Drosophila melanogaster: one gene and its partner. The protein of the gene in region 1 interacts with the protein of each later gene in a pairwise test. Each region holds a gene or a part of one and is shown on either strand. Other genes may lie near its edges. The genes, in order: sol and CG15141.

Evidence for each region.
Region 2: the proteins of sol (region 1) and CG15141 interact in a two-hybrid assay, tested with the Drosophila melanogaster proteins (2 studies listed by BioGRID).

Annotation. Positions count from the first base shown.
Region 1 is NC_004354.4:21,344,027-21,359,805, reverse strand, and holds sol (small optic lobes), read right to left. Parts: upstream 9,527-15,779; 5' UTR 9,198-9,526; coding exon 8,956-9,197; intron 8,172-8,955; exon of another isoform or gene 8,045-8,171; coding exon of another isoform or gene 8,040-8,044; intron 7,947-8,039; coding exon 7,321-7,946; intron 7,054-7,320; coding exon 6,141-7,053; intron 5,713-6,140; coding exon 5,393-5,712; intron 5,327-5,392; coding exon 3,738-5,326; intron 3,666-3,737; coding exon 3,159-3,665; intron 3,100-3,158; coding exon 2,833-3,099; intron 2,762-2,832; coding exon 2,619-2,761; intron 2,550-2,618; coding exon 2,372-2,549; 3' UTR 1,894-2,371; downstream 1-1,893. Other genes in the region: Septin1 (septin 1), read right to left, coding at 1-35, 102-294, 1,413-1,430; peng (penguin), read left to right, coding at 10,055-10,500, 11,102-11,804, 11,873-12,275, 12,374-12,849, 13,057-13,242; dod (dodo), read right to left, coding at 13,375-13,484, 13,854-14,186, 14,298-14,355; fliI (flightless I), read right to left, coding at 15,621-15,779. UniProt on the Drosophila melanogaster protein: Has a role in eye development. Calcium-regulated non-lysosomal thiol-protease.
Region 2 is NT_033779.5:17,402,845-17,418,965, forward strand, and holds CG15141 (uncharacterized protein), read left to right. Parts: upstream 1-7,796; 5' UTR 7,797-7,936; coding exon 7,937-8,774; intron 8,775-8,804; exon of another isoform or gene 8,805-8,841; coding exon of another isoform or gene 8,842-9,339; intron 9,340-9,395; coding exon of another isoform or gene 9,396-9,743; exon of another isoform or gene 9,744-9,789; intron 9,790-9,950; coding exon 9,951-10,327; 3' UTR 10,328-10,655; downstream 10,656-16,121. Other genes in the region: CLIP-190 (cytoplasmic linker protein 190), read left to right, coding at 1,886-1,996, 2,512-2,578, 2,641-4,097, 4,152-5,981, 6,049-6,179, 6,247-6,455, 6,515-6,561; Polr2J (RNA polymerase II subunit J), read right to left, coding at 6,914-6,949, 7,012-7,186, 7,244-7,333, 7,408-7,460; Rsph9 (radial spoke head protein 9), read right to left, coding at 8,842-9,339, 9,396-9,743; Dif (Dorsal-related immunity factor), read right to left, coding at 12,841-14,802, 15,148-15,530, 15,644-16,121.

The DNA of each region.
Region 1 (15,779 bases):
CGATGCCTCCAGCTTTACGGTTTGCTTTTGTTTCTCTGCAAGAGGGGAATGGTTTCCTGGATGAGTAATCAAAGCGAGTGATGACGAAAGACTATGCCCACCTATGGCGTCCGGAATAATGCGCTCGGGATAGAGATCGGTGAGAAAGAGACTATTGACCAGCGTGGACTTGCCCAGTCCGGACTCGCCCACCACCATTAGGGTGAACTCGAATCCCTTTTTCACGGACTTTCGATGCACCTGGTTGGGCAGGTTGGCGAAGCCCACATAGCCGGGCGTCTCGATGCTGGAAAACTGCACGAGAATAGGTGAATAACATTAGTATAGAGAACCAAAAGTCCTAGGCTTCATATATAAATAAAAATAATTAATATTAGAAACTTTCTGAGAATCTACTAGATAGGTAATGCCTTTAATTTCAGAACAGGTAAACAATCAAACATTGCTTGCAAAACCAAGAATTACTCAGTTCAATATCAGCACTATTTCTGGAACGTTTAAAGGCGAAACAAATGTGGACTTTTTTGCATATGGAAATTATAATCTTAACGAATTGCATATTAACTAAATGTGCCGTGCATTGTGTTCTATACATATGAATACATATGCGAATAATTAAGTGGGTCAGCCTATGCTGATTAAGCTATAAAACCATGCAATGCAGACTGACGATAAATCATAGTAATATTGTACATATATCTGCGGTCGATCAATTTATCTACCAATTAATTGGAACTATGTTTCTCGGTAAAACACTTTTGGGAATAGTAAAAACTTGCATCTCATGAAGAGAAAGTTGAGTTGAGTTAAGAAATGGGTTCAAGGATATGACCCAAAATGGACAAGTGATTGAAAGTATTCCATATGCCTTATTAACTCGTAACCCAACTCAGTTGGGTTGAGCTAATGTCTGGTAGTTAGGGTTTTGGGTCTTAGAAAGCGATGGCTTGGCTTGATTTGCATGCCCATCACGCGCGGATCAGTTTTCTCTTGGGCGCCCAAACTATGGGCACGGCACTCATTTCTCCGTGCACCAGAATGCACTGCCATGTGGGTCACGGGCGGCCGAAGTTGCTTCGCGAGGGCGGCAGAGGTCCCGGGAACAAAGGAACAACGCCGACGCCACCGGCATGTTGTGAATCACTTGACTTCTACTTCCACTTCCTTCTCCACTCCCGCTCAGCAATGCCCGCTCCCACCGAGTGGACAAAGGGCGGTGCAGGAGGAGTGTCCGATGAACTGGCGCGGCGAGATGAGCGGCAAACAAATCAACAGGAGCGCCGCATTCGGCATTTGATGCACTGGCAACCAGGAGTGGATGGCACGCCACGCCCAGTTGGCGGCGGATCGAGTTCGTTGGGGGACTGGCCGTTGGCCATTAGCATTTGGACAAGTGAACAGCGGCTACTCACGCCCTTTGTATCGGCCATTTTAAAAAAAAACACGAAACGAACGAAGAAATCAACGTAATGACGAACAAAATAGCAGGGCAACTAGTGTGACCGCAGCGCGCAACTGGCAAATCCTGCTGCCAGTGGGACCAGTTCGGCGGCAAAACAAAAATGACGACCGTCTGAACAAGATCAAGCTGGTATTTCTTTTGAAAATCTGGTTGAACGTAACCATATTTAATAAGTTATTTAATTATTATGGTTTTATATGGTTTATATTATATCATGACTATATTTTTATGATTTCACTTTATTAATCGGAAATTTAAGCCCGGACTATATTTACGATTTAGTTCGTAGCGTTTTTGACAGTAGATAACATCTTATGTAGATACCATGTCGAATATCTCCTGGCGCCATCTATTGTGTATCGTAAGGTATATTTTGATTGAATCGTTTTCCAATTCGCGCGTACACATTTGAAATTGTTTACACATTGGTGGCTTTTATAACTTGTAGTCTTTATTTTTAAAACAATACACATATTAATATTGGATGCACTTAAATTCACAATACATATCTATATAATCCACAATCATAGCCGCTCTAATCAAAACACAGATCATTGGATCTCAAGCGAATCGTGCCGAGCCTTAGCCTTAGGACTCCGGACTGGGGCTTCTGGGCTCTGCCGTATCCCCACCGGGGATCTGCTCCCACTTTCCGATACGCCTTAGTGCATAAACACATACATATATCATATCTGCACGGCTCTATACACATATATATGAATTGTTTCGCATGCTGATTGGTTTCAACTTTGGGTTTTTCGCTGTAATGTGTGATTCGTTAACAGAACATCGACTAGAAGACGGGTAGAATTGAGAGGAGACGCATGCAAATCAGGATTCGAACAGCGACATATCGCGGGGTAGCATCGAAATTGCGTCACTGCCATCCATCCCTATCCCTATCCCATTCTAGGTGATTAGCCGCGGAGCGTGCAGTCCATGGACATTCTCGATGGGCGGGCAGTGGGTGGCGCCGGGTGGCCCCCAGTCGTGCAGGCCGCGGGAATTCGCCAGACGATGGGTCAGCCGGTGGGCGATGCTGAAGCCGCCACTGCCCTCTAGTTGGGTGAGAACGATGATTACTTGTCTGAAAGCGTTAAGCACACGTTAAGCAATTAGTTGGGGGAATATTTTAGGTGGTCGATTGGGAGCCCACCTCTGCAGCGGGGGCACAGAGTCCACTGTCTTGAGTTCGCCGCGTGTCGACACCACATTGTAGCTCTCCTGGCAATCACATTTCACATGGATCCACTTATTCTCATGTCTATTTTCCACCATCACAACCAGACCCGCCCAGCCCTGTAAAGGAAATGCGGTCGAGTTAGTAAGGCCACCGAATCCCTAGATCCCTTCGCAACCGGATCACTTGCCTTGGTCAGATAGTAGGCGGTCATCCCCTCGCGCCCCTCGTGCCGCTGTCCCTTGGTTAGGGTCAGGCTAATGATAGCGTCGGCCAGGAGATGCGGCGAGGGACTTATCTGCTCCACCAGCAGACGCTTGGAGCTGTGTATCGCTAGGATGCATTGAGGATACTGGTGGGGATCCTCGATGCCCGTGTGCCAATGGTTGAAGGCCAGACACACAAGCAGGTAAATGTCCCGCTCCAGCATCTTGTGGCATCCCACAAAGCCTCGCACCTAAATGGAACGCAATTGTTAGAAGCGTTTCTATTTGCAGGGCTATGGGAAGCACCCACCTGACGCTTGCTGTGCTCCACTAATCGACCGATTTCCGGCGCCGCCGGAGACCGGGTGCGGAATATCACAACGCACAGGTCCAGCTGCGATCGCTGCGACTTCTCCGAGTTGCGCTGCCCCTCCTGGAATAGGGTAAACTCCGCCTCCGTCGGCTCCAGCACGGTGAGCAGCACACAGGAGATGGAGCACAGGGGCTGCAATGTCCCCTGCAGACGCACCTCGTTCCAGCCGGAGCGCACCTTGCAGATATCGATGCAGTCGAAGTAGTTAAGCACATCCTCGAACGAGATCCAGAAGACGCCCTCGCTGGCGCCGTGCGGCATCAGAGCATCCCGAAGATCGTCCGTCCACAGCGAGGAGTCATCCGACCAATCGCCACGCCACGAATAGTGACCCCACGGATTGCGTAGCTTGAGCAGGCGATGTCCCTGGATGTCCTTCACGTCCAGCACCGAGTAGGCGTGTCGCGGGCGCAGCCCCTTCTGCTGGTACTCCTCCTCGTCCACCTTTGGTTGATGTTGATAATTGAGCATAAGCATATGAAATAGAAGAAGACTTTGTAATAACGCAGAACCCACCTTCATGTTGCCACCGCCACAGCTGGCGCCCATGAGGAATCGTACGCATCGAGAGCTCAGCAGCTGGGCCCATATCAGGTCCTTGTCCAGTTCGTCCTCGCTGGGCATGGGCAAGCTACTGGCCTGTAGTGGAATGCTCTCGCAAGGCGCTCCTGTCAGCGTGGCCAGTCCCTCGATCGCCCGGCCCGAGACCAGCGCCTCGTAGCAGCCGTGGATCTTGGCCACAGCCTTCTCGATCAGCGGCACCCATAGCTGCTTGCGCTTGGCCTGCGAATAAACCAGATGGCCACGCTTGTCGCATGGCAGCAGATCATCCACCAGCACCGTCGTCCACTTGCCGTCTTTGCAGAGGCGCACCTGGTATGCGCCCTGGCCACATATCTCCTTCGTGACCAGCACCTCCTTGACCAGATCTTCGCGCTCCGCCAGCACCGCCAGCGCACTGAGTAGCCAGCAGTTGCCCAAGACGCCCTGGCAGATGTCCGAGGGCAGCGGGGTGCGGAACACAGCCCACGGTGGATACGCTCCGCCGTCGCAGTTAATCTCGTGCGGCCGTCGCCACTGCACCACAGGATTTCCCTCGCCTGCTCCGCTCGCCGGATTGTAGTACAGACTCTTCGGCGCCGGCGGAAACGAATCGTCCACGAAAAGCTCGCTATTGTCGCGACAGTACTGTATGATGTTTTGCCACTTGGTCAACGCTTCGGTCTCCTCCAGCTGGCGAAGGTTCTCCATCAGCTTGCTCTCCTGCCGAATATCTGCCGGTGTGAGGGCAACTCGAACGGACTTTCTGCCCAACGCCTCGCCCAAAACTGCGCTCGCCAGGCCGCGCGGACTCGAGCAGATGTCACAAACGACGGAAGCGGCACAGTTATCGTACGTGCACGCGGGACACTGCCACTTCTTTGTGCTGGTACTGGCTCCGACAGCTCCAGCTCCAGATCCAGCTCCAGAAGCAGACACTACCGATGCGGAGCCGACTCCCTGGCCCTGCTGCAAATTGTAATTGGCCAGACCAGCGATGGAAATGTTCCGTGGCACAATGGAGCCGCCGGTGCTGTGACGTTTAGGTATAGCGCCCGATGAGCTGGAGTTCCTCTGCTGCTGGAGTGATGGCAGCAGCTGCATCCTGGGCGAGGGACTGCGTGAGCCGCGCAGACCAGCCGCTGTTGACGTTGGAAGCTGCAGCATGGGCATGGGCAACGCCACCGAAGTTAGCGGTAGGTTCAAGGCTGTAGGCGCCTTGACCTCATTGGCGCCCGATTGGTGGGCACTGCCTCCTCCGCCCCCGACGGCTGCAGCATCCTGCTCCTCGTACGACTGACCATCCGGTCGCTCCCGTACCGCCTCCATGGCCATCGAGAGCTGCGGCTGGCGGTGGGACTTGCAGGCACTGCAGACCGGCGAGTGCAGCGAGTTCTTGAGCGTACAGTGGCTGCAGGTCCAGAACTCGCCCTTTCGCAACGTCATGTCCTCGATGGAAGAGATGCTTTTCAGCTTGGAGCCGCCGCACACCACGCAGGCCATTGCTGTCGAGTAGTTAACCAGGGTGCACTTCTTGCAGGTCCATGGCTCGTCGCGGGGTGCTTCTGGAATGCATTAGGTATTTGATATAGCACAAGCATTACATTATTTCCTGAAAACTGATGACACACCTGCCTGTTGCTGCTGCAAGTGGTGGTGGTGGTGCTGCTGCTGCTGCTGCTGCTGCTGTTGCAGCTGCAACTGCTGTTGCTGCTGTTCGGCTTTGGCCTCGCACATCTCGCAAGTCTGGAGCCAGAGTCGGTTGTAGGCATAGGAACATTTGATGCATATCCACATCTTACTGCGGCTGCCGTTGCCAAGCTGTGTCTTATTGTCGTGCCGCGAGGCAGCAGCTGCTCCTACGGCTGCAGCTATAGCTCCAGCTGACGCGGTCCCTGCTGCTGCGGATGCGGCTCCTGATAGGCGGCTGCTGCTCCCTGGATCATGCATACTGCAAATCGAAAGCAAGACCATCAATTGTAATGCAGTCAAGTTCAAAATTGATTCAACACGGGAGATAGGCGAAATCAAAATGTAATTAAATTGAACACTTGAACCACAGATTGTCATAGCCGAGATCAGCACGATTGCGAATGAATTAATTACCTCAACCAAGTTGTGACAATCTTGTGGCAAGCCAATCATTAATTTAAATCATGCCCATAAACAATTTGCTTAAATAATACAACTGAACTTATAGCGGGCAGAATAAAAATAAAAGCTGGTGGACGGGCGAAATACAAACAGAAGGCCGCAGTGACTAAGCGCCACGCAAATTATCAGCAAAAATAAAAACGTAGCCAACTGATAAGCTTCTGCGGGGGATAGGAAGTTGGATGGGTGTGGACTAATCTCGGTCGCACGCTAGCTGCCAATTACATTTTCGACTCGGTCGCCTTGCGCGGTCCCTTCCACACTTTGGCGTAGATGGAGTGCTCCTCCACCTGCGACTCGGATTCGCTGGCCTCGCCGCTGCCATCGGTGCTAGTGCCTAGTCCGGCGGTAAGGGATTCACTGACCGCATCCGCGATCTCGCCACTGCCAGTGTTGTTGTTCGTTTGCGATTCGCTGGCAATCTGTTGCTTCTTCTTGAGCTTGTGCTGCTTGTTCACCTGCGCATAGATGGGCATGGTAGCCGTTGGAGCTGGTTCGGCCATAGCCTTAGCTGATGGCGAACTCGCAATGGCCACCGCCGTCGCGGCTGCCTGTGCCGCCTGCGCAGCAGCTGCTCTTAGTTGCTGCTGGGCCAGGGCCACGCATTCGTTCTCATACAACTTGTTGCTGCCGCTGGAGCTGCTGCTGTTGTTGTTGATGATGTTGCTGTTACCGCTGCTATTGCTATTGCTGTTGCTGTGATGGTGATGATGATGGTTGGAGCTAGAGGAGACGGAGGAGCTGCTGGCCATTGGCTCCGACCACTCGTTGACGGCTATGAAGACGCCGTTCCGCGGAATGGTGAACTGCGTGGGATTCATACTCACTGCTGCTGGCTCCCGCTGGGTTTTCCGCTGCAGCTGCTGCGGATTAGCCGGTGACTTCTGCTGCGGCTCCTGCTGTAGATTCAGATTTAGATTAACGACCTGACGCAGTGGCTTCATTTGGCCATGGCCGGCATCCTTGGCCGCCGACCGAGAGAGCGTGGTGATGGTAAAGTTGTACTTCCGCTTGGCACCGCTCTCGCGAACCACCTTGTGATTCTGGTTCTTGTTATTGTTGTTCTGTTTGCGCCTGCAAAAAGTGTCGTTGGCGATGGCAAAACGGGAGTTGCTGCAGGCGGCCACGGGGGGAATCCCTGCGAGAAACACATAGGGATTAGAATTGGATTATCGGATAACAAGTGCGTGCATTCCGGTTATGGGAAGCTAACACTTTCATCATGATCTGACTAAGATTAAGAACTTTACAAAAAGAGAATAGACTTTAAATAATTCGGTTGTCCATTTAAAGAGTTTCTTCTAGTAAAAATTTGGAAACGATAGGCTGGCCAATAAGAATACCTTATAGTTATTTCCTCAAGTAACCTTTAACCTTTCATTAGTTCGTTAGCTGATGAACGCACCTGTCAGCTGCGGCGCCGGCTTGATCTGCGGCAGATTGAAGATGTCCTTGCTCTGGTTGTTCGCATAGCAAATGTGGCAGCTGCGCCCGGAAGCGCTCTTGTCGATAGCGGTGCTCAGGCTCTGGGTGCGGCGCAGTCCAGAACCCGAGCCCGGTCCGGATCCCGATCCGGATGCAGATCTACCTTTGAGGTGGCGCTTATGCAAGTGCTGGGAATGTAACTGATGCTGATGCTGCTCCTCCAGTTCCTGGTGGAGGTAGTGGTGATGATGATGTGGATGTGAATGGTCCGCCGCCAGCAGCTCGCCGCGATTGCCCAGGCTGCCAGCCAGATCCTGGCCTCGGTCGGCGGCGATGGCGTCCTTGTAAATGGGCGCCAGATAGCTGACCGTGTCGCAGATGAGGCAGTGCCAGGTGACCGAGCTGTTGTCCGTGCCGCAGGCGTGGCACACCCACCGCCGATTCAGGGCCGGATTCGAGAAGTGGCGGTACAGCTCAATAGAGCTCTTGATGTACTTGCGCGTGTCCTCGCAATCCACGCAGTTGGCGGGCAGATTCTGGCTGTTCCGCTGTGGTCTTTTCAAGCATCCGCGCAGCAGGGACTTGTACACATGCTTGTACTCGCTCCTGCAAAATAGGGAAATGGGGTTTTTCGTTTTTCGTCGGGTTTGGATGGGATTCGGTGTTCTTGAGCTGTTTGGGCTTTCCCCACTTCCTGACCGCAAAGGTTATCTCAATGACTGGCCATTTTCCTACTCTCCGCTCGTCCGCTCGACTCGGAAGTTGTTCCTACACCTCTTTTGCTCTTCAGATCGCCGAGCGAGTTCGCGAATCGATAAACTTGTAAACAATGCTTCTTTATCCAAATCGATTTTCCCCAATTCTCGCTGCTCCTCGGCTGTTTTGTTGTTGCTTCTGCCTCTGCTGTGTATACATGCTCTCACATACACACACTCGCGCACACACACACACACACACACACACACGCTCAGGGACAATCACCAGTGCCGACGGCTTGGCTTTTAAAGCTAGACTTTTGAACTGTGTACTTGTACACACTGTACCTTTTCCTAGCCTTTCGAAACTTAAGTTCGTAATATAAAAATCTTTCAACTTATTCCTATACTCCCATTCGAGTTATTCCTATGGATAGTTAATCAGGATTTTCCTAACCGATTTCATTGTTTTCTTATTCTTTAAGTTTCATTATGCACAAAAGGGTTAGTGAGAACTATAAAATTTACTAAGATTTACTCGGTCTGCTCTTTGGATATTAAAGTTCAGCATAGGAGCTTACGTTGGTAAGCTTTTGGTATTATTATTCTTTGAAAGTTAAGGTTTTTGATTGACGAATTTTACCGATGAAAGTATGTACATATTTGTGTATTTGTATATTTTCCAAAGTGTGCATACAATGTGTGTGCGAAAAAAGTTGGATTTGAAAACGCCACCGATTTCTATACACATTACCATATGCGACATGATTTTAGCTAGCGCTTTTGTCCTCCAATTGGATGCCACCACTGGCGCCCACATACACACACACACACACGCATACAGACACAGACACACACAGGCACATCCTCGCAGAGGAGGCATACAGGCTGTTTGTTTTTGTGGCGACCGCTTCGCTTACCTGGCAACCGCCGCCCTGCCCTTCTCCTTGTCCCTCTCCTGCCCCTTCTCCGCCTGCTCCTGCTCCAGTGCATCATCAGCTGTCCAGGAGGCGGTGATGCTGCTGCTGCGATGCTGCTGCTGCTGTTGTTGGGGGAACACCTTGCGGACGGTGCCGCAATTGAAGCACTTGAGCGACTCCGTGGGATTGATAGTGTTACATTTGGTGCACGACCACTGCAGCACGGATGAGATGGTGCCCATTGCGCGGGGGAGTCGCAGGAGTTCCCAGATTCCTTTCGACTTCTGAGTTGTTTCTCTTGCTGTTGTTGTTTTTGTTGTTGTTGGCTGGCTGGCGGGGGAGTGGATGTGGAACTGGGACTGTCTATGGAAACTATGATGTGTAGGTGCGCTTTCGAGCTGGTGGCCGGGCGGAGATGGAGATCAATAGGAGGACCAGAACCCGGGACCAAAACGAGGACCAAGCAGTGGCTTCCAACAGTTGCACGCCGCGTTCTCCGTCGCCGTTTCACACCATTTTTTAACTGTTGCCGCTAGGGTTGTCGACGTTCGCGAACACCTCCAACGACAAGGTTGCCCGAGTGCGTGAACTCTGCCGGACAGGGTTGCCAGCGCGAGAAACACGGCTGCTACCCCGCAAAGCCAGTGTTGGCAAGTGCCGTTAATGAAAAATCGGTACCTTCAATTTTTAGACCAATTCTAATATGTTTTTGGGAATGAATACATACATATATTCATAAAACGACGCAAATACATGCATAAAATTATTTGACCTTCTATAACAAGTAATCAACATTGAGGAGCTTAGTTTAGGAAGAGTTTAAATTTAATATTTAGACATGGATTATTATTTTTTAGCCGCTTTCAAATGGAAAGTCAAATTGAACTGAACGCATTAACTTGAGTTAAATTTTAAACAAATAGAAGCACTTCATTGATACTTACTGTATGTGGAACGAAAATACCAGATTTTGGTATTTACACAGCTTGGGTATACTGCAACAATCTGGTCACTCTGCATCAGCAGCACGTGTAGTTCGCTTTTTTGGCAAAAACATTTGCTGTTATTTAGTTGTAGTGTCCAAGAAAACGCAGCAAAGATGGTTAGCTCGGAGCCGAAAGGACCTGCTAACGTGGCCAACACGGCCTCGCCCCTCAAGGCCCATGAATCGTCCGGCAAGCGCGCCAACGGACAGAAGTTTAAGCCCGGTGGAGCAGGAGGCGCCAGGAAGTTCGACAAATTCGGCGGAGGAGCAGGCAAGTCGTTTGTAAAGCCAGGCGCTGGTGGTGCCAAGAAGTTCGACAAGTCTGGGCCCGGTGGCTTCAAGAAGTTTGACAAATCCGGAGCCACCGGCGACAAGAGGCTTGGTGGCAACAAGTTCCGCGGAAAACCACAAACACAGCCACAGGCGCCGGCGGAGGGCGAGAAACAGGACTGGAACAAGTTCAAGAAGGAGAAGAAGGACCTCAAGCTGAAGCGCAAGAGTGCCAAGGACACCTACGAGATCAGCAAGGAGGCCAACCAGATCCACGAGAAGTTGCGATGGTGAGCATCCCCAAAAACACGATGAACAGCCCAAACAATCGGTTATTATCATCCTTAGCGCTCAAATTACCTATACAAATTATGATAGCTCAACAAAATCGGGCTCTTTCATGCACTTATGTACATTCAGAACGTACAAAGTTGTTTAAATTTCATAAGGCATCAATCTATACGATATAGTTTTAATAATTATAAGTCATTTTGGTTCCTTAAAGGACAAGATATCGATAAACATGGCCATGTGGATCCCAAAACGAAGCACCTGTTCGTGGAAAAACCGAACATTGCCACTTGGTTCGAATTCAAAAACACCAAACATTTTATTCATGTTCTTGAAACAATAATAGCTAGTTAAGCATTTTGATCAGTATCAAAACTAAGTTAATATAGCCTTGTATTTCTGTATAAATGTTGAGTTAGAACCAAGAGCGTAGATTCCAAAGACGCCTATTTAGCGCATGCTGTTTTGTTTGGTCATAAACAAACCAGCTCTATCCTCTGTCGCGTTTTTTTTTTTTTTCGTAAAATTACAACTAATGAATGCGCAAATCCTATTGCTCTGATATATATATATCAACATAATTTGGTGCTTGTCTTGCAGCCGCCGAACGGAGAACAAGGACAAGCTGGTGGAGCAGATATACAAGGTGCTCAACGTGGGCGACACTATTTCAAAGGTGGTGAAGGCCCACGACACCGCCCGCGTGATCCAGAGCATGCTAAAGTACGCGTCGCCAGCTCTGCGGGCCGAGATCTCTGAGAAGCTGCTTCCCTTCACCGTGGAGATGTGCCAGTCGAAATACGCCCAGTTCTGCGTGCAACGGATGCTCAAGTACGGTGCGCCAGCCACCAAAGCCAAGCTGGTGGACAGCCTGTACGGACATATAGTGCGTTTGGCCGGACACAGCATCGGCAGTGGGCTGCTGGATTCGATGTATCAGAGCGCCACACCCAATCAGCGCATCTATATGCGCCAGGAGTTCTACGGCGATCTGTACCGGAAGGCCAAGGATTCGAATGTGAAGACTCTGAGCGACACCTATAAGGAGGCCACGAACATGAAGGCCTCCATTTTGGGGTCGGTTAAAGCAAACCTGGATCATGTGGCCAACAAGCAGCTGGTGGACAGTGCGCTGGTGCACGCCGTGATGCTGGAGTACCTGCGCGCCTGCGACGAAGATGAGGAGAAGCTGGAGGAGACGGTCACTGCGTTTGCGGCTCTAGTGCCTCACATGCTGTCCACCAAGGAGGGCAGCGAGGCGGCTGTTATATGCTTCTACAAGTCGACGCCCAAGAATCGCAGAGTAAGTGGATCACGTATAACGTGTGTTGATGAAACAGAATCTTATATGTATTCTAACCCCTTCTTCAGGCCATTATCAAGAATATCAAGGAGCACCTGCTAAAGATCGCCAACCATGAGCACGGCCACGTGTTCCTCATCTCGCTGCTAAACGCACTGGACGACACTAAGGCGACCAAGAAGGCAATTTACGATCACCTACACGGAGATCTAAAGGCGCTAATGAGCAGCCCGTACGGCCGACGAGTGATTCAATGGCTGGTGGCTCCGGGTGATACGACATGCTTCCATCCAGAGTTCATTCGCACGGTGGAGGAGGGTCTAGCCTTTGGAAAAAAGGAGAAGGAGCTGCGTCGCAAGGAGATCCTTGAGCAGATAGAGGCGCCGATTGCACAGTCCATCGCCGAGGATGCCGCCTTTTGGCTGTCCAACAGCCACATCGGCCTGGTCACCGGCGATATTCTTAATCACAGTAAGTGCACACTTCTGAAAGCCATAGCAGAAACATACATATGGATTTACAAGAATATGTTCACGATATTAATGTACGTTTGCATCTCTGCCTTTTAGTTCAAGGCGAGTCCTATGAGAAGGCTGCTTCGGCCCTTGCCCAAGTCGTCGTCCAACCGGAGTGGCGCATTTCAGCAGACGCCGCCGGTCCGCAGCCGCAGGATAAGAAGAAGCCTCACAATGACGTGGAGGCCATTATAGCCCAGGCCACCAAACAGCGCAGAAAACTGCTTTATGTCGAGAGCAGCAGCGACGACGAAGATGAAGATGAAGATGAAGATGAGGAGAGCGACGATGAAGGAGACGAGAAGGAGCAGAAGGAGGCGGCCGCAGATGATGCCGAACCCAAGGTGAAGAAAGCCAAAAAGGAGCCCAAAAAGCCAAAGGCAAAGGAGGAGGAGCCGGCGGCTCCGTTGGTCTCCGGAATCGAGGAGGCCGGCATGCACATTGTATTGAAGAAGATACTCAAGAACGATGGCAAGCGAGAGGGCACCCCGTTCAGCCAACAGCTACTCCAAAACTTGTCCTCCGATGTGGTAAGTACCCAAAAATCATGCCATCCGGTAACCGAGGGTATCTTCCTTTTTCCCAGTCATGAGAAACGCATCGTACTTTTGAGTTTTTTCTTTTATTTAATGACGTTTCGACATTCCTTTAGCTTTAGTCTAATAAATAAGTAGTCGCAAAGTAAACAGCTTCACTCAGATTCCAATTCCTAATTGCGATTCCCTTTCCCTTTTCAGCTGAAAGCCTGGCTGGGCGTCAACCGGGCCTGTTTTGTCCTGCTCAAGCTGGTGGAGGAGTGTCCCGCACTGCTGGACGACTGCAAGAAAGCCATCGCGGCGGAGAGGAGCCTTAGCCAGATACTCGCGGACCGTAAGACGCCCGGAGCCAAGCTACTGGCCGCCAAACTGGACATTGGCAAATGAGAAACGCTTCTAGCCTAGACAAGACCTAACATTTTAAAATACAATAAATAATTCTATATTGAAATGGCTGGGCATTCCGTTTTATTCATGTGAAGGGACGCGAGTTGTGCTGTGGGTCGGTGCTCGATGAGTCTATGCCTTGCGCAGGATGATGTGCAGGCCGGAGTCGCTGTCGACGATGCCCGACAGCTGGTTGACGTTCAATTTGAAGGCAGCGTCCTCGAAAGCCGCCTGCATCTGACCTGTGAGATGTGAAATGTAATTAGAAGCAGTTGCAGGTCGGTTGGGTGGCCTAAACTCTACGATTGCAAGTAGCTCGCGAAGTTATAGGTACAAAAATGTGTAAGGTAAGGAAGATTAAAAAAGAAATGCCGCGGAGCCAATTGCAAATAGTGTTTGTCTATAACTATGCATCTATAATCTATTAGTGGTCGATATATCTTCTCTTCTCTTCTCTTGAATATTGAAAACAATCAGAGCCTCTAGTGGAAGTACCAATCTGTTTCTGGATTGCGCCTCAAGTGGGAAGCGCCTTATTCCTAAACGGACACACATCGAGGACCACTCGATCCTGGACGTGTGACAAATGCACAGTGGGGAGATATACATACCTCTGCCGAACTTTCCCAGGTCGCCGCCCCTCTTGGCGGAGCTGCAGTCGGAGTAGGAGCGGGCCAGCTCGTCGAATGTGGCCTCCTGCTGGACGATTTTGTTGCGATAGACCTCGAGGAGCAGCTGGGCCTCCTCCTTGGTGCGCGTGATGTTCGCCTCGCGCCACGAGCTGGGACGCCGACTGCCCTTGTGCTTAACCAGCAGATGCAGGCAATGCACCTCGTCCGGTGCATCTCCGCCGCCGGCGGATCCTCCGCCCGCCTTCTTCGCCGGCTCTGTGGGCTGATCCCACTGCGACTCCTTTGTGTACATATTGAGATAATAGCTCATTCCTGCAAAATCAATCATGATCAATCAAGTGCAGGTTCAGTTTAGCGTGCCGGTTCCGCATTCCGCCGGAAAACCGCCGGCATGGCACGAGCGGGACTGCACACGATGCTTACCTGTGGAGCGGCTAGTGCGCTTCTCCCAGCCGTCCGGTAGTTGCTCGGCATCTGGCATGCTGTTTTCACTTAATTTGAGTTAAATTACAAATAGTTTTCGGAATAAAATAAACCACCAGTGTGACCGCGCCGAACACGCTTTGAGAACATCCATCAAAATCGATAGCGCCTGCCATCGACATATCGATACACATGGTGGCGAATTCGCCAAATAAGGTGCTGGCACGTGCTAACTGCGGTGGGTGCACTCGCTAACCGCAGATACAGCTGAGGCCAATATAATAGCAGCGAACTAACAATAATGTGCTGATATGTGCTATTCTGATATGTTATATGTATCTTTTGCCGAAAAATTAGCACATAACTTAATTAAATCTATTCCAATACCTCCTTCAATCCGCGACACGAATAGAGGAATTTCAATTTTTCTAATGTTTATTCAGGGGATTAATAAAAATAAAATAAATACGTGGGCATTTGTACAATTAGTTTTAGTGCTTCCTTGACTTTATTACAGGCTAGCTTTAAGTAGGTTAACATTTTAAAAGGACTAGCACAGGGGAGTAATCCTCTCAGCTCAGCGTATGTATATATATATATATATATATATATTGCGTATTTGTAGGCATATGTGATATACATACATATGTATGTATATTTGCATTCAATATACTCATGTGGTTTTCTCGCAGGGAGTGGGCGAATACTTGGCGTTCTTGGAGTTAGCTAATTATTTAGTTAGGGGCGGGAGCAAGTGAGCTAATAAAAAAATTTAAATTAATTATACAAAACAATTAAATACATTTTATAAAAGTACAAACACACGATCTTCACTCACGACCTGAAGGAAGGGCTTGGCTTGGCCCTTTCATTCTTTTTCCCTCGATACAATTTTGCTTTGTCATGTCTTCTGGGGCAGCTACTCTGTCACGGCAGCTGCCCAGCGCATCTTCCCAGCGAACAACATTCGCATCCGGCTAACAGAGGTCTAACTTAATGCTTAATGACCAATTTACAACTCGATGGGGCTCCTCTAACGGGCTAAGATTAGTGGGTAACACCTCTAAGGTGCCTCTATTCATTTCATAAAACTAAACTCACATTGCAGGCGTGCTCTTCGACTTCTGGTTAATAAATGCACTTCCCGAGGCCGATTCACTAGCTCTGACAGGGACTCGAAGGCGCCAATCGAGACAAGCAAGACAAAAACTAGCGCCTTTTAGGCGCTTTCCTTGCGGAGACCTAAATGGCCACATAGCGGCGGTGCATGAATTAGGGAAATTTAAAAGAACTACTCGACGATGCTCCTTCAGTTGGCTAAAATTATAAATACACCTTGAAGGCGCTCCAGCCGTGGAAGCACTTGGTGAAACGGCGCGACTCCTTGTTCTTCATCGTGAGGAAGAGCTTCCTCGGCCGCTCCGGCTGCTTGATCCGCATGTGCTGGATGTAGACCTGGGCGGACTTGTAGGCCAGCTTCAC
Region 2 (16,121 bases), on another chromosome or scaffold:
GCTCATTCATTTGTGCAGTTTCGGTTTCGATTAATTGTGTTTTGTTTTTGTTTGATTTTATTTTTGCATTGCACCCGCGCTCTGGCTGTTTACAAAACAAACACACACAACCATTTTCTCGTTTTCACACAGCTGTTTTTTTTTATGATTTTACCCATCATTGTCTTGTGTTTATTTGTTGTTGATTTAACTCAAACTCATCTAATTTTTGGCACGTTACGTTTTATGTTTTGTTCTTTAACCACAGTGAAGACACTCAACTCATTCCCAATTGCCAGTCATTTTCCCAAATTGATTCATCAAATTAACTTGAAACGCTGAGAAGAGTACAAATTTCATAAGTTTAACTAGGCATGAAAGGTTTTGGGGGTTCAACAGCATTTAACTCGGTCAAAATTTAAAATAACAATGGGTTAAGGTTATTGCTGATATGTATACAAACGAAATTGATTTTACATCAACTTGTATACATACATTTTATAATAATTATTATTCTTTTTGCATTTTGTGCTGGCGCAAAATTTTTTATTTACCAATAACTTGCATCTGCGAAGATTGAATATGCATAAGATAACAAAATAAGTTTTCATGGGTTCATCTCAGTTCAGATACACAGATTTCTACACTTAAATTATCATATACGCAATCTCGAAATTACAGCAAGAAAAACGCAAAAACAACCTATTGTTAATTATTTGCATTCTTAATTATATACGTTAGCACTTTTGCACTGTTTGCTTATCCGCACAGTGCGTTTGGAGAAAAAAAGCTAGCGCACACAATTATACCCTATTATTGTTTCCTAAATTTGAAGAAGGGACTGTTTACTTTTATGTGCTTTTCGCAACCGCTTTGGGGCTTTTCTAGAAGACGACTGTCTTGTGGGATGATTGAGTTTTGTGCTTTCTGTTTGGTTTTGTTTTCAATAAATTGTTTGTGTTTATATTTATATGCGGATACGTGTTAGACTTTTCTATTTGTCGAGCGCACTTTGAGTTTGAGTGTTAAATTAGCAACAAAATTATCACCTGAAATTCCCGGTCCCAGCCACACCAAATCCATATTTTCCTGCCTTTCTCATCCACTGATCAAGCTATCCATCCTTTTTAACGCAAAACCAAAAAGATAATCTGACTACCAATTTGAACAAAATTAGGCTGGTCCTTAAGAGTTGAAATTCTGTTTGCACAAGACTATTTTTGTATGATTCTTATAGCAAATACTGATCGAAGCGGATCGCTGGAGACGCCTGATAGCGAGACACAGCATAAAGGTATCCGATCTGCGACGCGAGTTCCGCGGCTGGTCCGGAAAACACGAGAGTCACTGCATCCTGCACAGTGTCCTCACACCGCTGCGCATCAAGTAGAAATCCGGATGAGAGGAATGGGCGACCATAGTGCTCAAAACTATTCGATTCGACGATTTTTGAATTACATTTCTTTGCACCGAGAAAGGAACCACTGAAGACAAAGTTGAAGTCTGCACAGCGTTTTAAGCTGATACAACCAAATAAAGAATTAAAGATCTTTAAAATAATGAAAAAAGGAAACCATAAAAAAAAACGAAAGCCAATCGAAAAACCAAAACGAATAAAGTTAACTTAAATGGTTTGATTGGCGTAAAAATATCAAAAACGAAATTAAAAAGATAAAAAAAACGGTTAATGGAAAAGTTGACTGACAATTTTCGATTCTTTTGACGAAAGCGAATTTTTCTTGCTGTTGGTTTAGTTATTACGATATACACTTAAATACTATATATATGAAGAAAAATACACTAACAATATGCAAAACATTTTTACAATCTCCCAATGTTGTTTTATTTATGGTTTTAACTTGCGTGCTAATTTCCTTTCCTATTTCTTTGACCCCTCGATCCTCAGCTAAAAGCAAGAATCGTTGAATTGGAGTCGGCATTGGACAATGAACGAAAGAAAACTGAAGAATTGCAGTGCTCCATAGACGAAGCCCAGTTTTGTGGCGATGAATTGAATGTAAGGACAAACAGAAGTCGTGTCTGGAAATGTACATTGTTGGGTTAAAAAGTTGATGTTCGATAGAATTTTTAGTTTACTATATTTGCTCTTATTAAAGTTTAGCTTGATATATTTGTTAATATTGAGAATCGTTAAACTGATTGTTAAATTCTGAAATCAACAAGGAAAAATCTCAAACTAAGCTTATCGTTCGTTTTAATGCGTTTTTCAAGCTATTGCATTTGCTGGATCCAAAAGTATGCTATATAAATATTGACTTTTGTAAGCGAAAAACAAACTCTAAAAATTATTGCATGCGGCTCAGTATTACTGAGTATTAATACAATAGAATATGACGAACTAGTCAATAAAATATTTAATATTCCAATTAAAATATAATATGTTACTGTTATTAAATGGAAAACGCATATATCTTCCGGGAAATAAATGAATAGAGCAAGTCAATGTACATTTCCATGCACTGAGAATAAAACTAGGCCCCCTATACTAATAATATAATTCCTATATAATAGGCTCAGTCACAGGTTTACAAGGAAAAAATCCATGATCTGGAGTCAAAAATCACAAAACTGGTGTCCGGTAAGGAATAACAATTAAAATTCCAAGTGAAAATGCTTAATACCTTGATGCATCCTCCTTAGCCACGCCAAGCCTACAAAGTATACTACCGCCCGATCTACCTTCAGACGATGGTGCTTTGCAGGAGGAAATCGCCAAGCTGCAGGAAAAGATGACCATTCAGCAGAAGGAGGTTGAATCTCGGATTGCGGAACAGCTGGAGGAGGAGCAGCGGTTGAGGGAAAATGTAAAGTACCTTAATGAGCAAATCGCCACTCTACAGTCCGAGTTGGTGTCCAAAGATGAGGCCCTGGAGAAATTCTCCCTCTCGGAATGTGGCATCGAGAATCTCCGAAGGGAACTCGAACTTCTCAAGGAGGAGAACGAAAAGCAAGCTCAGGAGGCTCAGGCTGAGTTCACCCGAAAACTAGCCGAAAAATCCGTAGAGGTGTTAAGATTAAGCTCTGAATTGCAAAACTTGAAGGCAACATCCGATTCCCTGGAAAGCGAAAGGGTTAACAAAACCGACGAATGTGAAATTCTTCAAACCGAAGTACGAATGCGGGATGAGCAAATCAGAGAGCTAAACCAACAACTCGATGAGGTTACCACACAACTAAATGTACAAAAAGCGGATAGTTCTGCTCTGGATGATATGCTTCGATTGCAAAAGGAGGGTACTGAAGAAAAATCTACTCTTTTAGAGAAAACCGAAAAGGAGCTAGTTCAAAGCAAAGAACAAGCTGCGAAAACTCTAAATGATAAGGAACAACTTGAAAAACAGATATCAGATTTAAAGCAATTGGCGGAACAAGAAAAACTAGTCAGGGAAATGACTGAAAATGCAATCAATCAAATACAACTAGAAAAAGAATCCATAGAACAGCAATTGGCTTTAAAACAAAACGAACTTGAGGACTTCCAAAAGAAACAGTCAGAATCGGAAGTTCATCTTCAGGAAATCAAAGCTCAGAACACGCAGAAGGATTTTGAATTAGTTGAATCTGGTGAGTCCCTTAAAAAACTGCAACAGCAATTGGAGCAGAAAACTTTGGGTCATGAAAAACTGCAAGCTGCTTTGGAAGAACTAAAGAAAGAAAAGGAAACGATCATAAAGGAAAAGGAGCAGGAGCTCCAGCAGCTCCAAAGCAAGTCAGCTGAATCCGAAAGTGCTTTAAAAGTCGTACAAGTACAACTAGAGCAACTCCAGCAACAGGCTGCCGCATCTGGAGAAGAGGGATCCAAAACTGTGGCCAAATTGCACGATGAGATTAGTCAGCTTAAGTCCCAAGCTGAAGAAACTCAGTCCGAGTTAAAATCCACCCAATCCAACTTGGAAGCCAAAAGCAAACAATTGGAGGCAGCAAATGGCAGCCTAGAAGAGGAAGCCAAGAAGTCAGGCCATCTGCTGGAACAGATTACCAAACTTAAATCTGAAGTAGGGGAGACGCAGGCAGCTCTCAGTTCATGTCATACGGATGTGGAATCCAAAACTAAGCAACTTGAAGCCGCAAATGCAGCTCTGGAGAAGGTCAACAAGGTAAGTCTGTGAAATAAACGACGATATAGTTATTGTCATTCTTTAATTAAACAGGAATACGCGGAATCCCGAGCGGAGGCTTCTGATCTGCAAGATAAGGTGAAGGAGATCACCGATACGCTACATGCTGAGCTTCAAGCTGAACGATCGTCCTCCAGTGCTCTCCATACTAAGCTGTCCAAGTTCTCGGATGAAATAGCTACCGGCCACAAGGAACTGACCAGCAAAGCCGATGCCTGGAGCCAGGAGATGCTGCAAAAAGAGAAGGAACTACAGGAGCTGCGACAGCAACTTCAAGATAGTCAAGACTCTCAAACAAAGCTGAAAGCAGAGGGAGAGCGGAAAGAAAAGTCTTTCGAGGAATCTATAAAGAATCTTCAGGAAGAAGTCACTAAGGCCAAGACGGAGAATCTAGAGCTAAGCACTGGCACACAGACGACCATAAAGGACCTGCAGGAGCGACTGGAAATCACCAATGCTGAGCTCCAGCACAAGGAAAAAATGGCAAGCGAAGATGCGCAGAAGATTGCCGACCTTAAGACCCTTGTGGAAGCCATCCAGGTGGCTAATGCCAATATATCAGCTACAAATGCGGAGCTCTCCACTGTATTGGAAGTTCTTCAGGCGGAGAAGAGTGAAACAAATCACATATTCGAGCTCTTTGAAATGGAAGCCGATATGAACTCAGAGCGGTTGATCGAAAAAGTTACTGGGATTAAGGAGGAACTAAAGGAAACCCATCTGCAACTGGATGAGCGACAGAAAAAGTTCGAGGAGTTGGAGGAGAAATTGAAGCAAGCTCAGCAAAGTGAACAAAAGTTGCAACAGGAGTCTCAGACTTCCAAGGAGAAACTTACGGAAATACAACAATCCTTGCAAGAACTCCAAGATTCTGTAAAGCAAAAGGAAGAACTTGTCCAGAACTTGGAAGAAAAGGTTAGGGAAAGCAGTTCCATCATAGAAGCGCAGAACACGAAACTAAATGAAAGCAATGTTCAGTTGGAAAACAAAACTTCTTGTTTAAAGGAAACCCAAGATCAATTGCTAGAGTCACAGAAGAAGGAGAAACAATTGCAGGAAGAGGCTGCCAAACTTTCCGGTGAGCTGCAGCAAGTGCAAGAGGCCAATGGAGACATAAAGGATTCCCTAGTAAAAGTAGAGGAACTAGTAAAGGTGTTGGAGGAAAAACTCCAAGCAGCCACCTCCCAGTTGGATGCCCAACAAGCCACAAATAAGGAACTCCAGGAGTTGCTGGTTAAATCTCAAGAAAACGAGGGAAATCTGCAAGGAGAATCTTTGGCAGTCACTGAGAAACTACAACAACTGGAGCAAGCAAATGGGGAGCTTAAGGAGGCTCTGTGTCAAAAAGAGAATGGCCTTAAAGAACTTCAGGGCAAACTTGATGAAAGTAATACTGTATTAGAAAGTCAAAAGAAGAGCCACAACGAAATTCAGGATAAGTTAGAACAGGCCCAGCAAAAGGAGAGGACTCTTCAAGAGGAAACATCCAAGTTGGCGGAGCAACTGAGCCAATTAAAGCAGGCTAATGAAGAGCTCCAGAAATCCCTTCAGCAAAAGCAGTTACTTTTGGAAAAGGGTAATGAATTCGACACCCAGCTGGCAGAATATCAGAAAGTCATTGATGAGATGGATGATGCGGCTTCCGTTAAATCCGCGCTGCTGGAACAGCTACAAAATAGAGTTGCGGAACTGGAGACCGCACTCCGTCAAGCCAACGATGCCCAAAAGACTGCTTATCTGGAGACTAAGGAACTGAGGCGCCAGCTGGAATCGCTGGAACTGGAGAAGTCGAGGGAGGTTCTGAGCCTAAAGGCTCAGATGAATGGTGCGAGCAGTAGGTCCGGAAAGGGTGATGAAGTGGAGGTGGGTTTCTTTTTTTTAAGCTAATATTTTATATATTTTGCAAACAATGGGCCTTGTCAATTTCCAGTCACTGGACATCGAAACCAGTCTTGCCAAGATTAACTTCCTGAACTCAATTATTGCTGACATGCAGCAGAAGAATGATGCACTCAAGGCAAAGGTGCAGACCCTTGAAACCTTGCCAATGGATTTCACCAAGTGAGTTAAATTCTTTTTCATCTCGGTCGAAGCATTTTCGTTCATAAATGTATATAATATATTTAAGACCTCATGCCTTCGATGCCCTGACAAAGCGGAAACCGGCTCCCAGACTTTTCTGCGACATCTGCGATGAGTTTGATCAGCACGATACGGAGGATTGTCCAATCCAGGGAAGCGAAGATCAAGACTACTCCACACCGTCATCCGAGTCCAACAACAACGAGAAGGAGCGGAAGCTGCCGGCACCCAGGAAATACTGTGATTCCTGCGAGGGTGAGTAAAATAAAATATCAAATTTTACTGACATTTAACAATGTTTTTCCCAATTACAGTTTTTGGCCACGATACGAGCGAATGTGCCGATGATGAAACCTATTAGTTAGCTCTAGTTAAATTCTATTATTTCCATTTTACTTTGTTTTAGACTCTATAGCATAACCATATTGCGAGATCTATCAGATGAGATACTTTTACCTCAGCAGAGCTTCACTCAATCACACAAAGAAATTTCTCTACTTAAAATTGTGATCTTGCGTTATGCACACATCCATGGATAGTAGTCTATTTTAAATTGTTTTTATTTATTGAATGCGATTCGTGGCAAACACACAATCGGTTGTTTTCGTAATTTTTGAGTGTAAACATAGTGTAAAAAATAAAATCAAGAACGTGGAAGAAGAAGCTTTTATTGGGTTTTCATAAGACTAAGGAATTAATTGGTAATTATATGATTAATCGCCGCCCTCCTTCTTCTCCTTGATGGCGTCCTGAAATCAGAGAAACATGGATATTAAAGAAATGTTTCGAGGACGTTTTGTGCAGGTAATACTTTGAAACGCTCTTCGAAGAGAGATAATTCTGCTAGAAGATCGGTTATGGCGTTCATGAATGCTTCCTGCGGAGAATAATCGGCCGTAGTCTGGATGCGGATGACGAACTTGTGCTCCAGAGGATGCGGAACCTTGTAGCCGGCAAACAGAACATTGGGATCCTTCAGCAGTTGGCTGCAGGCAAGAATGCAAATTTAATGTGTAATCAGACGGGCTTGTTGGCCAACATACTTGCGGATCATGTTGCCCAGCGTGTGATCCTCTTTGTTTATGGTGAATATAGCCGCATTGGTCACTTTGGTGTCCAGTTCCTTGATGATTCTGCAGCCGCGCCATAACAAACATAAAAACGGGTTAAAGGTGGTCATTCGGAGTAGTCTGTTTTCTTTACTCACTTTTTCTCGCCTTCATAGAGCAGAAATGACTCAAAGGTAGGTGGTGCGTTCATTTTGATGTCTTACTTTTCGTTAGTTACTGCAAAACTTATAAATTGTTTATTAAAATCAGCAGCACGCTCAGCAAAATTCTCCGGTACAGTGTTGACTAACGCCCAAGTGCAACACAAGCTAAAGTAGCTATATCTAGCAAAAAGTAGCTAGAACGCCTAGCTAATTTATTTTAGTATTTTATAAATCATTTTTAATGTGAGCATCTATTAAATAAAATAAAACTTGTACTTTGAATTTGAAAATAATTTAATTTGCTTATGTTTTTTGGTCATTAAATAAATAGCTTAATCACTTCTTGCAACCAACACTGGCAGCCGATACCTATCGCATAGACAAGCTGTTGTGGGCCATCCCTAGGTTTCGGTGGTTGAATTATTTGCAAATTTTTATCCAATCGCGCCAAACGCTGCGCATTCCGCCACTTTCGAGAAACTGACACGAAGCCAAGCTAAAAATACATTATTAAACAGCTGACATGAGCGAGTCGAATGCCACAGATGGTGTCCACGAGGTTGAGGAGTCCAATCCGCTGGAGCAGTCGACCATTACGATGCTAGATGTCCTGGAACAGGAAAAGGAGCTGGAGGACGAGTACGCCGCAGTGCTGGGCGCCTCCGATGAGAAGTCGTGCACTTACGCCAAGGGCCCCATCGGCCGACAGGCTCTGTACTCGTGCCTCACTTGTTGCCCCGAGGCGCGCGAGGATCTGGACAAGGCCGCAGGAGTCTGCTTGGCCTGCTCCTATCGCTGTCACGAGCACCACGAACTGGTGGAGCTCTATACTAAGCGGAATTTCCGCTGCGATTGTCCCACCCAGCGTCTGGGCAAGTGCTCCCTGAACCCACAAGTCGAGGGCGTTCAACCACGTAACGTGGGCAATCTGTATAACCAGAACTTCCAGGGGCTGTACTGCAAGTGCAAGCGACCCTATCCCGATCCCGATCGCACCGTTGAGGAGGTTATGCTGCAGTGCGCCATCTGCGAGGACTGGTTCCACTTGCCGCACATGAAAGCGCCCGGCGCCAGCGACAAGTGGCTGGATGTCTGCAGCGAAATGATTTGCGATGGCTGCATGGATGCCAAACCCTTCCTAAAGGACTACACTGGATTAGCCCTGCAGCCTGTGCTAGAAGATGCGAAGGAGGACAAGCCGGAGGCTGACGATAGCCAGCTGAAGAACGAGTTGGACCGCAGCATCTGCGATATCATGAAAGTTCCTGAAGGTGAATCTCAGCCAGACGAAGGCGAACCCAGCCAGAAGCGCGCCAAACTGGACGATTGTCGTCGGCCCAAACCAACCAAGGAGCATCAGGGTGAGTAAATTAATATAGATATACATGCGTATGCTCAAAAAAAAAACATATTTATGCAAAAGCAACCTTAATACATGAAAAGCAAGTCAAAGTTCTTCTTGCCATCGCCCAAGTAAAGGAAACCATGCTTGTGGGAGTTGATTTTGTGAAAGAATGTCATGCCCAACCAAAGGCACGACTTGATTATTACCAAACCCTCGTTCCGTTGCATATTCAGGGCAAAAGCCTGACACAGTGGTATTACGCAGTCAATGGTGTCCAGAAAGTCAATAGCATAGTTATAGTCGCTCCTCTTGGCCAAATTGACTTTGAGATCATTGCGGGGCAGGCGATAGAGCTGGTAATATGATTGGTTGTCGATCTGCAAGTCATTCAGTCCACGAAACATCTGGTTGGGTATAACACGACCATCGGTCATCTTGTAAAAGGCTCCGCGTGGGCAAATGGCACACTCCTCTGTTATAATAAACACAATGGCTGCCAGCCGTTCCTCCTCCTTAAGCTTGACCACTTCAGGGCGGCTGATACCAGCCACCTGATTGCCTACGATGTCAAAAGTGGGGTCCTGTGTGCGTACAATATCAGAAAAACCACCACCACATTTACGTACTATCAACTCACCAGCTTAACGTAGGTCATCAGGCTGGGATCTCCTATAAATGGCTCCCTTGCCAATATAGTCGCCTGAAATATCTTGGGGCTCTGTACGAACGGCAGCAACTGCCATTGGAACTGGTCCAGACTGTAGAAATACTTGCGATCCTTGAGACAGTCATTAGTGTAGCCAAAGGCAATGTAGTAATCGTTCTTGGTGGCCGTAATGCGACCCCAAAGATACATGCCCGTAAAACGATTGTCATTTTGTAAAGCGATCAGCGAGTTTTCAATCAAGATGCGCTGCTCCGGCGACAGCTTCATGCCGCAGTACATTAGGCAGTCGAGGCCCTCGGTGAAGAACTCCAAATTCATGACGAAAGTATCTTAGCAATTTATATGTGAAGTGTTGAAATAAAATATGGATTTAAGTGCTGAGAGTATTTGAAAGAAAACTCAGAACCGTAAAAAAAAATATGTTAGCGGAATGGATTTTTAATTACATGGCATGCATAAATCAGCACAAACTCTTTGAACTGCCAATTTCCCCCATTTATTCATCTCTACCCTTTCTCTTTCAAGGAGCTGCTTTCTGGACAAATGACTGGCGAAAATCACTCTGTCAGTGCTCCGAATGCCTGTCGCTTTACAAGGAACTTGCCGTGGAGTTTCTGCTGGATGTCGAGGATTCGGCTAAGACGTACGAGGAGCGCGGCATGAAGCGGGCTGAAGAGAATTCCAGTTATGAGCAAGGAATCCGGGCACTGGCCTCCATTGACCGGACACAGCAAATCGATGCGATTACCGAATACAATCGCATGAAGGACAAGCTAAAGGAATACCTGCAGGCATTCGCCGCCAGCAAGAAGGTAGTGACCGAGGAGGATATCAATCGGTTCTTTGCCGGCATGCGCAATGAGAACAATGCCAACCTGGGTCAGCCCTATTTCTGTCGCTAAACAGTTAGCACTCTATATTACTCTAGTATTACCCACATTCCCCCATGAAAGCGAAACATACATACATACATCATGTAAATTCTAAAGTTATATTTTATTTAAACAATAATCATTTTCAATTCACTTTTGTCAATAACGAAAAGTCGTAACAAGGCATCGGGCAATGAGATTCGCATTTCCCTCATTAAATTTATGTACATTGCGGTAAAATAGAATTATATAAGACAGGTTTTGTGTTGAAGTTCATTTTGGATTGAGACCTTTTTACATGTAGCTCTAATTGGTTAATTTCCGATATATTTTATGAAATATATGTACACTAGTATTTAGCAAAGTTTGTTGTTCATTTGAATGGCTGAATTCCCAAGCTATTGAGTTCTGCCTCAATGTCCTGGATAAGTTCGCTGGTGTCAATGGGCGCCATGCCTATGCTGCTGGAAATTAGATCACTAAACGATTGGGTGGGTTCATCTGCTGGAGGTTGCTGCTCCTGTGGCTGCTGTTGCTGTTGGTACTGCGACTGTTCTGGATGGGATTGGGCCAGATATGGAATGGACTCTGGCTGCAATTGCGGCAGGAACTGCTGAGTCTGTTGATATACCTGTTTAATGCCAAAATTTCCTTGTGGCGGTATGCTTATGGCACTCATTTTCTGACTTAAAAAGTCATTGTTATTGTTATTAATTAGTACATTGTTGTTATTATTGATTGGTGTCATAGAGCCACCACTGAAATGGGTAGGACTACAGCCGTTTACCGGAAAGTTTGAATTCTCCGGCAGATACATATGGTTATTCCTCTGTCCGATTTGAAACGGCGGAATGCTATCCACTGTACTGCAATTGGACGAAGGCGATGCGAAATTCCCATTAAATGTGAAGTTTGTGGCATCTGGCAAATAAAGATGAGTTTGATTTTGCCCCATTTGCATCGGCGGAATACTATCCACTGTACTGCAGTTGGATCGAGGCGAAGCGAAATTGCGTTCCACTGATGGACACTGGCTACTCTGGCTATCCACATCCATGAATCCATTCTCCATCTTGATATCCTGCACAAAATTGGGACTTCCGCCGGGAAACATCAAAGGCATACCAGGCGACACCTGTGTCTGCGGTGTTGTGGTCGCAATTTGTGGCTTGGAAAATATCGTATACTGGCCTAGAAAATAAATAAAAAGTTGTTAGCCTTGTGTTTCCAGTATTAACGAGAAAAGCGTTTCAAAACTTAAAATGCTTTTATTAAGATAAGCATAATTAAGATAAAACTCAGGTAAAACTAAAGCAATTTGCGAGAACTCAAAAGGGACAACAGCAGCAAGCCACAACATCAACCTGCCTTGGCAGTATCAACTTACATTATTTGATGTCCAACTTTGGTGGCAAAAATGGAGTTTGATGGAAACTAGACAAAAATTGGAAGGGTAGACACATTTTCGGTTGTCCGAATACTTAAAGATACCCTTGCCATTCAAACCTTTTGCTTATTTTAATAAACTTTTTTAGAGATTGGTGATCTAATAACTTTTAATTAATAAGATGAAAAATTGAAGTCGCAGCAAAAGTTTTTTAAAGTTTAAATAGTACGTATAAAATAATATAAATATTATTAAATATAATTTATTGTTAACGGACGAATATAATCGCTAGTTAAACATTTAACTATAACATTATTTTTTGATTTCTTTACAGGCAAGAGCATTTTAAAATTTTAAGAAATTGCAAAATAGTTCAATGCCACGACTTTTACGAAAATCTTTTATTCATTAATATTGAATACAATAAGAACGGGTGAAACAAACATTTTTCTATTCGAACGGTCTATATATTCATTAATGGGGTTCTTCGACTACAACGTTACATTTCCCAACAATTCTGGGACGGACAACAACTTTATCCATTGGTCCACAAGGTATTCAATCCTGTACTATCAATAGTGAATTTTCAGCAAACATTTTTGCTAGTCAATATAAATAACACCATCGAGTGATGAGTTTGTGTATTTTTGTGTGGTTAATGAGTTTTTCTAGGAACTGCACAGATGAAATGCTTCTATAAAGAAACCCAGTCCCGGCACCAGTATAAATGCGGAAAATTCGTGAAAACTTACTGGAGGTTTTAACCTGCTTGGATGGATGTAAATTGGTGCTCATGAGACTGCGCTTTAGGCTTTCAACTGTTTTTTGGGCAACACGGCGATTGTGTTTGGTTAGGAGTTCTACAAAGATATTTAAATTTTATGTCGATTAAAAAAAGATACGTATACAATTGAATTTGGTGAGCGATCGATCTCAGGGGTTCTTAGCTAGAAATTTGTGTAATCATTATAATTAATACTGAAACAAAAAGACGACTAGAAAAGTTTAATTTGTTGGTGCAGTTGTGTGTTTTGCTGTTAAGCACTAACTAATGCTAGGGTTTTGGTTAACTGATTCGATTATAAATCCGCACATTTAAGAAAATATCTCGTTATCCCATTTTGTCTTCAAATCAGTTATCCGTAACCCAATTCATCTACTCCAAGCCATTTGCCTCCGCCAGCCGCCGTGCTATTTCATCCGCACTCAAAAAATCGGTCGTATCCACTCCACCAGTTGCTGCTCCACCTTCGCCGCACTCCCCGCCAAATGGTGGTTCCGGACTTTTGCTGGTGTACAAAGCAAAGTGTTCCGCCTCGGAGAGATCCACACTGGGATCCAGCACAACACCATAGGCTCCCTCGCACAGATTCTTGATGCTCTGCCTGTCGGCGATGGCAATCAATTCCATATTGCCGTCACTTATGGGAATATCCGCCAGTTGCAGAGTGCTCAGGGTCTTCCTATCCAGCGGTCGACCGTAACTAAGGGTGCTGGCATTCGAGTAGCTCTCCGGTCGTAGCAAACTGTTCTCGCTATCGCCTCCCTTCAATGGTATGTGAATAACATCCGCATCCAGGTGGGCAGGTCTTTTACCCGATACACTGCTCGAACTACGACCGACTGGCTTGCCATTTCGACCCTCACTTTTTCCCAGTGGCTGCATCGATCTTGTGGAGCTGCGATTGGGATCTCCCAGGGAAAAGTGCGCAACGCTTGGTTCCCTACTGCCGGTGGGTGTTGTGGCTTTCGATCCCCCTGGTAGTTGCTTATTGGGGCTGCCACCAGGTGTCAGAGATTCTTCGTCATCCGTCTTGCTCCTTCGGCGAGAAAAGAATCTCGAGAAGAATCCCTGACGCTTCTTTGGCGAAGCACTGGGCGTCGGTTGCCTTTTGGTGGGACTTTGATCAGGGGTTCGCATTATAATTATAGGCGAAGGTGTAGTTCTATTGGAGCTTAGGCTGCCGTTTCGCGAGCGGCTCACAGAAATTGAATCACTGACAGCACTCAGATCCTGGGAGTTTCTCTGCGGTTTCGGTGGTAAGGGAGGTAATCTCTGATCTGAAACTGGGGAAGGAGTTCGAGGTGGCAATGGCAGGGGCGGTGAGGCTGGGGGCGTGGCTGGTGTCTGAGCAGCGTTCACTTTGATCCTGGGAGCTGGTGGATTTGTCAGCACCACCAGTTCGTCATCATCTAGCTGACCAAACGGATTGGTGGGTGGATAAATGGGGGCTGCTTGTTTGCTTTCTTTGGGCAATCCTATGTCTATGGGATTATTAAAGGCTATTTGTAGGCTCGTATATGTGGCTGTCTCATCGAAGTTTTCATCTAAATCCATAGAGGCCTGGGCACTGGCTGAAACCATTTCCGGTTCTTTTTCATTTTCCGGTAGCTCTTTCACGGCCGGATTCTCGAGGGTATCCCTGCGAGAACCATTGGCCAAAAGACCGTGGGCTTCCTCGTCCAACTGGTTCGTTATGGTCGTATTGGCTGTCAAGCTGCTGACATTGGTAAATGCTGTTTGGGCCGTGCTATTCGATAGGGATTGCGTGTCCCCGTTCTCCACCGTCAGGCTATCCGTTCTCTCGAACTCGCTGCTCTTCATCCACTCGGTGATTGTTTCCACATTGGACAGGGGTCGCGATTGCAGCTGCGGATGCTGCAGAATCTCCTCCATCGGCGTGGACGTCTGGGTGCAGTCATCGGCCAGTTGGGGCAACAATTGCGGAACCTCCAGCTCTATTTCCATATCTGGTTCGTTATCGTTATCCGTGTACTCGGTGACAGTGCCACCATCCATTTCGTGCGATTCACCCCTCTGACGCATTTGCATTTTCTTGACGGCTATCTCGAATTCGTTGAGAGTTCCCGAACTCTGTTGGTCATCGGATGAAACCGTGTTATTATCCTCCTCCAGATCCATCGGTGGGCACGAGTATTTCGTGGCCGTCGTTTCGCTGTCTAGGGAAAGGATCTGCTGGAACACGTCCAGTTCCTGGCGGCGTTTCAACTTTCGCTGTAGCCGGGCAAAGGTTACTGTACCTGGATTCGGGTAGTACTCGAACGGCAGTGGGGCACTCGTCGCTCCATCCGAGGGTCTCACTAGTTTCAGCTCCACCTGGAAGGGGGGAAAAAGTGGAGTTAGTTCTATTTCATTCGTGCAAAAAATTTAAACTCGGAAAATTAATGTTTTCGGAAGTACAAGTATTCGATTAATGGTACTTAGAGCGCAAATGCTATTTTCAGTTTATTTTACGTTATTAAATTTGTTTTTTTTTTATTGTAACCATTGATACATATGGAAAATCCGTTGTGTGCAGCATCGAGAAGTGCTCTATTTTATTCATTAATTGCACTTTTTAAATTGCCGCTCGACATGCACATGTCAATTCAGTCACTTTTAGATAACAGAGATAAGTTTAAATAAAGTATTGAAATTATTTATTTAAAAAACTGAACTCACATTAACACTTTGTGTGATCTCGGTGTTCCTGTAGCGCGGCGTCTTAAAAGCTATGGCCATCTGTTTGAACACGTCCGTGGGTTGGAACTCTGCGTTGGCGAACCACGTCTCCCGTCCATCCTTGTCCGTCTCATAGAATCGCACCTCGATGTCGTCCTTGGCAATCTTCTCGCACAGCATGATGATCTCGTCGCCGCCGTTCGCAGTGGCCGCGCAACTGCACAGCCGGGTGATGGTCAGTTCGCTGCTCTTGCCGTAAATCGGTGAGGATACGATGGGATCCAGGGGCACTTTTGAGTTGCCCACTGTGATGAAGGCCTGGTAGCAGAGGCGCAACTCATACCGATTGATCTTGTCGATCTGGTCCTTGTGATCGAATTTGGCTGAAAGGAAAGTATAGTTACTAAAATAATAGTAGGAACTATTATAGTTTGAATTGCAGGAGGTATCATATAGTTTTAACATCCTTAAGTAAAGTGTTAATAAGATGACTCACCATTGAAGGGATCGATGTTTCTCCTTTCCCTCTCCACCAGCGAGTCGCGCATCTCCAGCTTCTTGGCGCACTGTATGCCCACTTTTTGGAGCACCAGCCGCCGCTCCTCTGGCGGCAATTTCTTTTGGTAGATGCCCGACTTGCAGGCATCCGCCTCCTCCTTGCTGACCAGCCAGTGGGGATGCTGGCGGAAGGGCTCGTCGCTCGTCACACAGGAGACCACGATGATGACGGGTCCATCGTAGTTGCACACTTCGATGGTGGGAAAGGTCTTGCCCGTTTCCGAGCTGGAGTTCATGCCCGGAATCGAACCGGCGGTGCGACCCTCGCATTTGTAGCGAAAGCGGATTATATTGCTTGTCGGCTCCTCCACGATACGCAGGTGGGGACCACTTCTTGCACTTGGCTCGGGCAGATTCTGATTCATATTCTGATTCTGCAGGTGGAGCGGAATGTGCGACGGCATTACCGGCAGGGA